Bombyx mori: one gene and its partners. The protein of the gene in region 1 binds, or shares a complex with, the protein of each later gene. Links are inferred from orthologs where the notes say so. Each region holds a gene or a part of one and is shown on either strand. Other genes may lie near its edges.

What was found.
Region 2: splicing factor 3B subunit 3 (region 1) and probable ATP-dependent RNA helicase DDX46 share a complex: the UniProt entries of both Homo sapiens proteins name them as parts of the 17S U2 SnRNP complex. The link is inferred for Bombyx mori from reciprocal best matches to the Homo sapiens genes SF3B3 and DDX46.
Region 3: the proteins of splicing factor 3B subunit 3 (region 1) and Phf5a are in contact, whole or in part, in a crystal structure (PDB 7B91), measured with the Homo sapiens proteins. The link is inferred for Bombyx mori from reciprocal best matches to the Homo sapiens genes SF3B3 and PHF5A. Residues at the interface, in NP_036558.3 of Homo sapiens: Gly85, Arg86, Gln104, Glu105, Thr106, Phe107, Gly108, Lys109, Ser110, Leu140, Ile154, Ser155, Ser156, Pro157, Glu159, Ser1162; in NP_116147.1 of Homo sapiens: Gln14, Ala15, Gly16, Val17, Arg44, Asp47, Glu79, Asp81, Arg82, Asp83.

What each region holds. Positions count from the first base shown.
Region 1 is NC_085117.1:14,811,757-14,815,413, forward strand, and holds part of splicing factor 3B subunit 3, read right to left. Parts: intron 3,565-3,657; coding exon 3,090-3,564; intron 2,862-3,089; coding exon 2,704-2,861; intron 2,310-2,703; coding exon 2,133-2,309; intron 1,903-2,132; coding exon of another isoform or gene 1,883-1,902; exon of another isoform or gene 1,856-1,882; intron 1,750-1,855; coding exon 1,442-1,749; intron 1,145-1,441; coding exon 989-1,144; intron 795-988; coding exon 610-794; intron 421-609; coding exon 254-420; intron 1-253. UniProt on the Homo sapiens protein: Component of the 17S U2 SnRNP complex of the spliceosome, a large ribonucleoprotein complex that removes introns from transcribed pre-mRNAs.
Region 2 is NC_085109.1:10,027,790-10,031,546, forward strand, and holds the start of probable ATP-dependent RNA helicase DDX46, read left to right. Parts: upstream 1-1,282; 5' UTR 1,283-1,494; coding exon 1,495-1,508; intron 1,509-1,626; coding exon 1,627-1,854; intron 1,855-2,037; coding exon 2,038-2,179; intron 2,180-3,095; coding exon 3,096-3,285; intron 3,286-3,486; coding exon 3,487-3,596; intron 3,597-3,757. UniProt on the Homo sapiens protein: Component of the 17S U2 SnRNP complex of the spliceosome, a large ribonucleoprotein complex that removes introns from transcribed pre-mRNAs.
Region 3 is NC_085114.1:14,383,689-14,387,241, forward strand, and holds Phf5a (PHD-finger 5A), read right to left. Parts: upstream 2,173-3,553; 5' UTR 2,118-2,172; coding exon 2,066-2,117; intron 1,992-2,065; coding exon 1,801-1,991; intron 1,358-1,800; coding exon 1,268-1,357; 3' UTR 651-1,267; downstream 1-650. Other genes in the region: ATP-dependent RNA helicase DDX47, read left to right, coding at 3,450-3,553.

The DNA of each region.
Region 1 (3,657 bases):
TATAATATTTACTTATTTAATATTTATATGTCCACGGCATGGTTTTGCCGCCTTCACAGTCGAAGTGACTCCAGCTTGGCTATGGAATATGCCGAGTGCCACCCTCTACCACAAGGGGAAGGCGACATGCTCTACGACGTTGTGGGCTCATCACTGTATGAGACAGCTACACACCACTCTTGCTTGGCTTCACCTGCAAAGGTAAGGCCAGGCAAACACGTCGATATTTTAAACAGTAATTTTTATTTCTTACCTGAACTAAATCCTGCTGCATATTCCAAACATTCATAAGATAGAGGTGTAAGGTGAAAACGATTTTGATAGTGATATCCTAGCCATGTTCTAGACGACACAGCTAGTACTGCTTCAGCAGCTTGTACCCTTACTTTAAATAACTTCACAGGTCTTGACCCCAAGTATCTGCAAAAAAAAAAACCAACTTAAAATATGATCATTTTCAAAATTATGTTTTCATAGTAGTAAGGGCTCTCAGATCTGGTTAATTACTCATCAAAATTTTCAGATGAAACACGGAGCGATTACAATTGTTAACATCATTGGCTTTTACAATAAAAGAAGTTAGTAATAGTGATTTGATTAATTAATTACCTAGTTCTAGTGTCTGCAAGATCACCGCTTACAGAATCTAAGGTAGTTCTTAACAGCACCCCGTTGCTTAAGCCAATGTTTAAATGCAGGGCAGATTTTGCACCAGATTCAAATGGTTGCTCAATAATGCATAATGATTCTGCACCAGCAGGAAGAGCTTGCATAGAACGTGGTGAAAGACAGTCCTGAAAGAAAAAAAAATCTATATTTTTTGAATTTTTTATGCTTAAGAGTTAACTGTATAATTTTTTAAACATTCAGTAATTTGAGAATAACGCTTTTTTGGGATGTTGTAATCACAAAAATCAGTGGTGTCCTGGTGTCATCATTCCAATTATTGCTATTGTATGTGGTTATTATGGTCACCAGAAATACTTACTGCTGGGTCCAAAGAGATAATTCTGACAGTGTTATCATTGAGACCAACTGCTAAAAACCATGCTCTCTGTTCCCCTGCTGCAACTGAACCTAATGCCATACAACAAACATCTGAAGATAATTTCTTTCTTTCTGTGTATTCATTGAGCTGTCCAGTCTGAAAAACAAATTTTATTTGAAATATGTGTTTTACTAACAAACATTTAAGATTAGTACTTTTAAGAATGTCCACAGCATGGTTTTGCCGCGTTCATAGTCAAAATGACTCCAGCTTGGCTATGGAATATGCCGAGCGCCACCCTCTACCACAAGGGGAAGGTAACATGTTTTACGACGTTGTGTGCTCATCACTGTATGAAAGACAGCTACGCATCACTCTCACGCGGCTTCACCCGAAGGCAACGCCACGCAAATACGTCGAAAAAGGGTTTTTCGATGTTTTGTATTTACTTACAGGGTCCATTTCGAAATATACCAACTCCCCTCCAGTTAGGGCAATGACGACTTGTCTTTGATTGACTGCACATCTGACTATAGATTTTTTTCCAGGAGCCTTCCATTCATTTACACGTTTGTCAGCACGAATATGTCTTATACCATCAGGATATACTTGTACTAGAGCGTCATTACCCATTGCATGACAACTAAGTGTAGGTGTAGTTCCCAAAAATCCTGAGTCAGTGACTTCTTCAACAGTCTCACCGATGGAAAGAACAAGTGTGGCATTAACGAATGACACAATGATGTAAGAATCGTATTCCTCTGTAACCAAAGAAAATTGAAAGCTATTATTATGTTCAATAAGTAACTAAGAAAATTTTGTTGATGGCGATGTTGATCTTCAGTGTAGATAACTTGCTCTGCCTACCTGTTCGTCATGCTGAACCATGTCTGTTCACCTGCCGTTAGTAGATTCTGAAAAGAAAAACCACTGGTGTTTATGTTTGACAAACAACCAGGGTTTTATTAGTAACTTGTTGATAAAAGGGAGCATTCATAAGTGGTAGTAGTAGAGTGGCGTCACAGTTTATCAGTAACACGGACCAAAATTATAATCATTATGCTCCTGTACTTCAATCTCGACAGTTTAATTATTTAATTTTAGAGCTCCCTGAAATAATGAAACAGAGTAAATTAATACTCACCATCTTTATTTCGTCGAACTGTCCAAACAGCATTCGGTGATCCTGGAAGCTCTGATACAGCCATTTCAGCAACTTCAAGACCATGTCTTAGTGCTCTAAGGGAGGATCGTGGGCCTCTCCCACATGCCAAGTAAACTTGCGGAGTATCTTCCCCAGCTAAATCTGCCACATGGCAAGCTGGAATTTTTATTAATCAATTATATATATATACTATTTTTTATTTTGAGGACTCCTCATTAAAACATTGAACGCCATGCGGCCCACTGGTGGGCCTAGCTTACTATACTATTTGAGCCAAGGCAAAATTAGAGAATCTAACTTTTATCAACTTGAGATTTTCATTATAAAATTTATATAATGCAATAATTTGCACGGAACATAGGACTTTAAACTGCAAATTTCTATTGATTTGAAAACCAAAGCGTTTGGGTTCGGCTTAATAAGAGTTTTGTTTGATAGCTGCAATGAGTGGCTTGTAGGAAAGCCTCCCGCGGCTCACGGGTGACCCTCGTGGCCCGAACGGTCAGTAAGATAAGGCGCACCAGTGATGCGTTCAATTGCTACTACTTACCTAATATTGGTGACAAAGAATCCATTTCATCTACCAGTACTAAATTCCTCAAAGGTCTTGGTGCAAAAAAGAATGTGTCGCCCTCTTCTAGAGGCATAGCAGAGCTAAATTCTGGTTCATCATCTTCATCACCCAAATGTGCTATCTGATATAAGTAGCTGAAATTTATGTGTATTTTAGTAATTTATCATTCCTAAATAGATGTACAGCACACATCATAAACTTAGTATGTACATCCTATATCAGTGTGCACTCACCCCATAACAAGGGAGGACCTTGGTTCAAGGATAAATTTCTATAGCATGAAGTAATTCTTAAGAGTACAAAATGAGTTTATACTCACTAGCACTTATGCAACGCAAATATATTTACAAAAGTATACTCACTGGTTGCCAAATTCACAAGCCACAAACAAAAATCCAGTTTTAAGAACACACATTGATGTTGCCACTGGTACAGTGTCAAAGTATTTCAGCTTTATTTCAGTGACCATATCTTCATCAGTTTCTATAGTTATTTTGAAAATATCACCCTGTTCAGTTTGTGCCAAAAAGAAAAACATGGACTTAGTTTTATGCGTGGCAGAACAAACAAAGATCATTCCTCTTTCTGGATCATCTAAATCATTTCTTCTGCGAGGTATAGGACACCTAATATCATGTTGATCACCCAAATTTTTGTATGTGAGATAATTTTCAGAGCATATAAGGACACCAGAAGGACCATCATTTCCTCCAGGCACAGTTATGAGAAAGTTTGCATGCTCTTCTAAAGGTTCAGAGTACTTTCTAACAACATGATTCAAACCAAGATCTAATTCGTAAAATGTTAAAGTCTGTTGAGTTTTTTGTGCAGCTTCGCCTGTGGAAGATAGTCATGATTGATTTTCAAAAGTAAAGATAAGACTTATTTGTGTGTTAATTTAAAAATCATACAGAGAGGATTTGACGTCAC
Region 2 (3,757 bases), on another chromosome or scaffold:
TGCCATTTCTAGATATTGTTATGAAAATAGCTTGTTTTATGTCTTGTTAAAGTAGTCGCTATTTTTAAATTGTATTTTCAATGATGTCGGTTGAATGTATTAGGTTATCTTTTGGTTTTCGTGTTTCGATTTGTACACAAAACATCCATGAATAGTGTTGTCTCGGTACTAAACTCTCTCTATTTTCAAATAGTCGATGATTTTTTTAAAGGTTTCAATTATCGACTTTTTACGTTTTTTAATTTTACTGCTGCTTAAATCTTGAACTTGAACCACCTTTGTGGAAATTAAATTTAAGATGAACAGTGATATTCACGTTACTCGCAAGCCAATATCTGCATAGCTTAAAGTCGATATCAACCGCTAAAGGCTGATGGTATGAGTCGAGTAGTAAGCTGTTGGATCATTAGATATAGAGTGGGACGTAATATCCGAACCACATTTTTTTTAAATACGGAATCGACGTTTAGCAGAATTTGTAAGATGCGTAAAGCTCAGATAATTCTGTCGCGAAACGTTCGAGGTTTGAAGAGTAGGTATATCTGTGTAGCAGTATTTTGAGACTTTCGCCACATTTATCAAAGTAGATGGTTAGATTAGCGTGTGGTGGGCCAAGAGATACTACTGTTAGGTTTTCATCCCATCGGAAAGTCAATTCAGCTCGATTGTAAAATTTGCAACGAATAGGCTTAGACAGTATTGGTTAAAAAAATTATATGAGTTAATTTTCTTAATAAACCGATTTTTGTCATTCGATTTGCTTGGTTGCAAAATGTTATATTTTGAAGATATGAAAATTTTAATCCAGGTAAATTTAGAAACTCAATCTAGCAATCTTTATCAACCTATTAAAAAGTCAAGGTTTTTTTTGGCGGGAACGCGAGGAGTGAAGTTGTGTGATTTGTTTTATTTTGTCTATTTAGTGTTTCTTCAGGTTTAAATGTATAATAACGGTGGTTTATTAACTGTTTAATGTCTGTGAAAGTGCACAAATGTGGGTAAATGAAATGAAGTCGCTGGACATAACATCTCGGGATCTTCCAGAAGGTCCACTGAAAAAAACTCAGCAAATTACCATCATTTTACTGAAATTATATTTTATCCCTTAGCATCTCATCTTCTTTCATTTAAATTTCATCCCAGCTGATTAAAGTCTCATATTAATTGTCTTTATTTCATTCCACTCTATATTATCATTTTTTATAAAAATAAAAATATAAATTAAAAGAAGACACGACTTAAAGGTCTTGGTTACCAGGTCATAAAATCCCTAAAAATAAATAAATTAAAAAGTCAACTGTCAAATGTAGAATCCGTGGATGCAAGCGAGCGCTTTGTGATTTTGTTATGCGTACTTTTATCTCATAGCAATCGAACCAAATTTCACAGCTCATTTTGTTTCAAGAATCTTTTATTAGTATTAAGTAAGGCACCGTTGATTTAGGCATGAGAAAAATAAAACGTGTAAAAATCTCTTTATATTTGCTTTAAAAAATGGTTAGGAGTGGGTGAGTGTCGATGTTTGTAAACGAACTACTTGAATCATTAACCTGTAAACGTTCTTGAAGCTTATTCAATATGTGCTAGCGTTCGAAAGTTTTCACAATACAATTTTGTTTCTTTTAGGAGAGACCGTGATAGGGAAAGGGATCGACGTAGATCTCGAAGTCGTTCTGACACACCGGATCGTAAACGAAGGAGGTCAAGATCAAGAAGTCGTGATCGGGGCTCGAAATCTTCAAAGAGGAAGCGCAGTCGTAGCAGAGATCGTGACTCTAAACGAGACCGAAGCCGAGAACGGGATCGCAGTAGGGAAAGAGATCGTAGTCGTGAGCGAGATCGGGACAGAAAAAGGTAAACTTTGAGTAATTAATAACCTCAAAATAAAAAGTTAAATATTTTAATTTAAGTCACAAGACTCTTTTGTTAGCGTTAGTACAGTTTATAAAATTATATTTATTCAAATAATACATTTTGTTAAAATGTTTTATTAAAGCTAAATTGAGGCGTGTTGCTAATTTATCTAAGTTCATTCAGTGATAAAAGAGATGATAAAAGAAATGGATCTAGTAAATCATCGAGAAAGAAGTCACCGGAGAAGGAAAGGGAGAGATCAAAATCAAAGGAAAAGAGTAGCAAAGCTGATTCTTCTGAATATAACCCGGGCTCTGTTGACAAGGTTTGTTTGTTAAGTTGTTGCTTATTTTCACAATAACACAGTTGAAACAACTGCTGAAATGTTTATTAAAATTGTTGAGTTCTAAGATACAATCTGGATAAAAACTTAATTTGACTGATACCCAGTGGGCTTTGAATAACAGAGAAACATAGGTGGCAATCTGGTATAATAGTGTTGGAAGTGATTAGTGAAGAAATATTTATTGGGCTATAAAAGCTGCAAATTTGTCAATGTATTGGTTTTAATACATAACTTCACAGTTAAAGTAAAAAACTTGATTTTTTTTTATGCTTTCACATCATCTACTTTGCATTTGCTTATGTACAATTTAAGGCTACATATTTATAAATGTATATTGTATTATGTAATAAGGAGAGTCATGCATTGTTGCTAAATAAATGAGACCCAAAAAATCGAAATCATATACAACAGATAGGTACAGCGTAAATAAGAAAATATAAAATATCTGTAAATTGTATGTTTGTACTGTATTGTACTGTATGAATTAGCAAATGTTATAAAGAGTCTGATTAGGTAAGAGTTTGAGATGATGCAGAAGCAGTTTGGCATTATATTATATCAACATTCAACTTTTAACTGAATATTTAGAATTTACGTATCAAAAATACATAATAACTACAAACATACATGCAATGAAATCTCTTTGTCAATGGAGTGCTGCTAATGTCGTAAAGTGATAATTCTCATTTGATCTTAGATGGCCCAATAAAACTTAGCCACTAACACATACTACGATTAGTATCCTTGTTGAGACAGGCAAGCATCTGAGGTGTGGTGTTAGAGGCTTTAGGTAGTTCTTTCACAAGAGCTTAATATCATATGGCAATTCATTGCCTGGTGTAATAAGCAGCAGAAGCCAAAACTTACTATTCATTTTATTTGATTATTTATGTAGGAAGAAGAGCAAAACCGCTTGGAAGCTGAAATGCAAAAACGTCGTGAACGCATAGAGAGATGGAGGGCTGAACGTAAACGTAAAGAAATCGAATCCGCTAAAAAAGAAGTTCAAAAAGGAAGCATTGTTACTAATATACAAATACCGACATCAAAGAAATGGTCACTTGAAGATGACTCTGGTGATGAAGGTCAGTAAAACAAAACCTAATCTATTCATCATTTACCAAAATTTAAGATTCACACACACATGGAAAACTTATTGGCTAAAAATTAAACGTTTTTTTTTTCATAATCTTGCATTAATGTGTGAAGAAAGTGATTTTTCTGAATACCTCTACTCAATATTTTGTGTAAAAAGAAACACATCATATGTTAAAATAATCTAACAGCTTTGCCAGGTGAAGATGCGGAAGGAAAAGAAAAAAACAATATAGGAGAAAAGAAAGAAGAAGAAGATGAAATTGATCCTTTGGATGCGTACATGCAAGAAGTGCAACAAGTAAGTTAATAGAGTTATTTTATTTGAAAAAATTGAAGTCGTCAGGAAGACGAAAAAGATACGATGTCTGGTGTACTTGTATCAACCAATGTGACGATGTCGATGTTTAAATCACGCTGGCAATTTTTTGACATATTCGGTTATAACATGTTCACGAATAA
Region 3 (3,553 bases), on another chromosome or scaffold:
TCGTAATTAAAGGTTCATTTAATTTATTATTAGTACCAACAATTCGATGTTTTTAGTTAAACTTCAATTAAGTTTACCCCATTCAAATAGTTGAAGAAGTTTTTTGTTATTATATTTTTTCCAAATGTTACTTTAGTTTAAATGGCTCTCCTGTAGTTGCAAAAATGTCGCTTAAACCAAATAGCCCCCTTCACCCCTCGATATAATAGTTTTCTCATTCAATACCATAACTTTAAAATATTTGCTTGACCACCTAATTCATTGTGTAATTATATAGTGTTACTGACTAGTACTATATAATACTACTAGCTGGCAAATGTTGTTTTACCATATAAATTATTTCTAGGAAAGATAAATAACCTAGATACCGACTGCAGCGCCCTCTGCTGGGTTGATTTGTGAATCTAAACCATCCAGGGTGCCACCCAAATGCATACAAACACAATCATTCAAATCAGCACAGCCGTTAAGGAGGAGTTCAGTGACACACACACGCACATAAGAAATATATATATATAAAGATATAATATAGTCCAGGTATGTGTAATTCCCGGATAGTCAAAAGATATTTGATTAGAAATTACTTAGTTATGTTTGGTTGTTTCCCAGACCCATGACGAAGGAGAAAATGGTAGTGTAGGGCCATTAAATGTGTAATACCAATGCATTTATTAATAATTACATAATGTCTTAATGTAAGTACACACTAGAAACATAGTTTTCAAAATATGACAGACAACATTCACACAGTACAATCACTCTCATTACATACATGAATATTGCTAACATATTGTCTGTAGTTTTACAGAGCACATGGTAGTCAAAAATATCTTTATTGACAATTTAGTAGAAAAATAAAAAATAAAAATGAATCTTAATAATTTAAATGCAAAAACTAAATGTATTTTTCAAGTATTTTCTTTCTAGTTGGAAAATGAAAACTAATCTGCATTGAATAAACAAAGGATAAAAAAAATTGTAAAAAAATAACAGATATCATCGATAACAACAATCCAATTGTATAAATGAATGAATTTAAAAAAATATATGTGAATTTCTCTTGGACCCGAGCTGCAACTCTTTAGACATTGAAAACCATACTTGATCATAATAGCCGTTGGCTTTAAAAAGTCAACAACAAAGTAGTTGATAAAAACAAACTTGTATTTCAATCAAACTTTAGTTGAGAAAAACCTCTGTTTTTATTATTTTAAATAACAGAAACTTTGCAGAAATTAATATTTAAAAACTAAAAAGAAACCTAATGCTAGTGTCTCCTAAACCCATATTTCTTTCTCTCGTAGAACAGATCTGTTTTAGAGCTTCCCAAATTGACAATCTTTGGACAGCCATCTCTCTGTGAAAAATAACAATTTTATTAGCATAATAATATGTATTATTATTATTATTATTATTGTTATCAGCGCACAGACGTCCACTGCCATCGTCCATCGGTCCATCTTGTGGGAGGCCTACCCACGCTACGTCTTCCGATACGCGGTCGCCACTCAAGAACTTTCTGGCCCCAATGGCCATCTGTTCTACGAGCAATGTGTCCTGCCCAATGCCACTTCAATGCCACAATCCTTTTGGCTATACATTTTATTAGGCTTGGCTTAATGTACATGATATTGGGGACGCACACAATCATTATCAGGTCACTTGATCAAGTCAGGTTGACTAGTTTCTTGTGAGTTTTTAAACTATCAAAATATAACGATGTTTTTTGATTTGAGGAAATTTAAATTAATGATTTCGATGCGATTATTTGAGTTCAAAAATTACAAAATTAAAACTTACATCCTTCTCCTGTATCGTGCACTCCTTACAATAATAAGCATCAGATACTCCAGGCCCGCCGCAAATCACACATCGCCCCTGATACGAGCCATAGTTGCACTCGTCACAAATACGAACCAACGTGCACGGACGCACATAAGAATCGCAAATCACACATTTTCCGTCACATTTCTCACATAAACGTCCAATAGCTGGAAAAATAAGAAATAGCATTAAAACAAGCGACACTAAACTTGGTTGTCTTCCATTTTTTAATACTACTAACCGACTCCGGGCTGTTTCCTGCAGAAAATTAAATCTGGATGATGCTTTGCCATGTTTTTAGTTAGGTCTGGTCTGCTGGCGAATGTTCTTTGATTGTTATTATCAAACTTGCCGTTTACTGTTTTTTTATCGAATAACCTACAAAGATTTTGACGATTTTGACCCGGTAATTTTGACAAGTGGCACCATAGATATATTTTTTTGTTACAATTTTTCCTTATTAGGAAAGGCAAAGGGATCTAAGCCCATACCGCCTCATTTGTTCTATATAATTTCTGATATAAATTTATAATAAAGCCAAAGCCAGGTCTTATAGGATTTAAATTATATGAGTCGACTATTATCAAAGCCGGCAATCTGACTTTTGGACAATGATTGGTAAATCAGAAAAAACGAATTATTGACTTTGTATTCCATTGGCAGTCACAAAACTCTTCGGAACGACATCTTAGATAAATAACAGGTTAACTATTAACCTTTATTTAATGCAGGTTTTGAACCGTATTCTTTGAAGGAGACGATTATATTCAAAACAATCTGTATTGACATATCAATAATTTTTTTTTGTCCAAATGCACAGATTGCCACCTTTGATAATAGACGACTCATATCCTGAAATAAAAATTTCATTAAGGCCGAAGCCATGTCCTATAATTTGGCACCATAGATAAGTAGTAGTAGTAGTTTCATTTTTCCAAATGGAAAGGCAAAGGTATCATAGCATACAGCCTAACCTTTTATATATTTTTTTTTATTTTATGAAATATGATACTATGAAATGAAGTGTATTAATTTATGAAACATGGCATAAAATGAAATGAGATGAGATGATATAATATGGGGTATTTTTATGGAAAACGATAATATGAAATGAAATGAAGATGATTAATTTGAGACAACAATCAACTGGGATGAAATTAAATGAAATGAGATGAGATGATATGGGATGAAATATAATCTCAGTAAAATGGTGGTCATTTACTGAGATTTTTTCAGTGGACTTTTTGGAGGATCCCGAGAAGTTACGTCCAGTGGCTTTGTTTCATTTTCCCACATTTGTGCACTGTCACAGATATTAAACAGTTAATAAACCACCGTTATTACACATTTAAACCTGAAGAAACACTAAATAGACAAAATAAAACAAATCACACAACTTCACTCCTCGCGTTCCCACCAAAAAGTCTAATTGCCGGTTTGCGATCGGTCTTAATTGTCAAGTATACTTTTGACAGTTTTACTTCTTTGGTGACACATACGTCACATATTATATGTGATAGATTCAGAAATCAGAAATCAGAAATCAGCATACCCCTAATTCAAACACATGCTTTCAATATTCGCGTCTTTTTTGTATTCCCCAAAACAATGATAATTTAGAGAAAATGACTGCAGACAAGGAAAGCTATGGAGACGAAACCAACCAGGATAGTGAGGTGGAACAAACTCCAACCGAAAATGTCAACGAAGATACTGAAGATGATAAAAT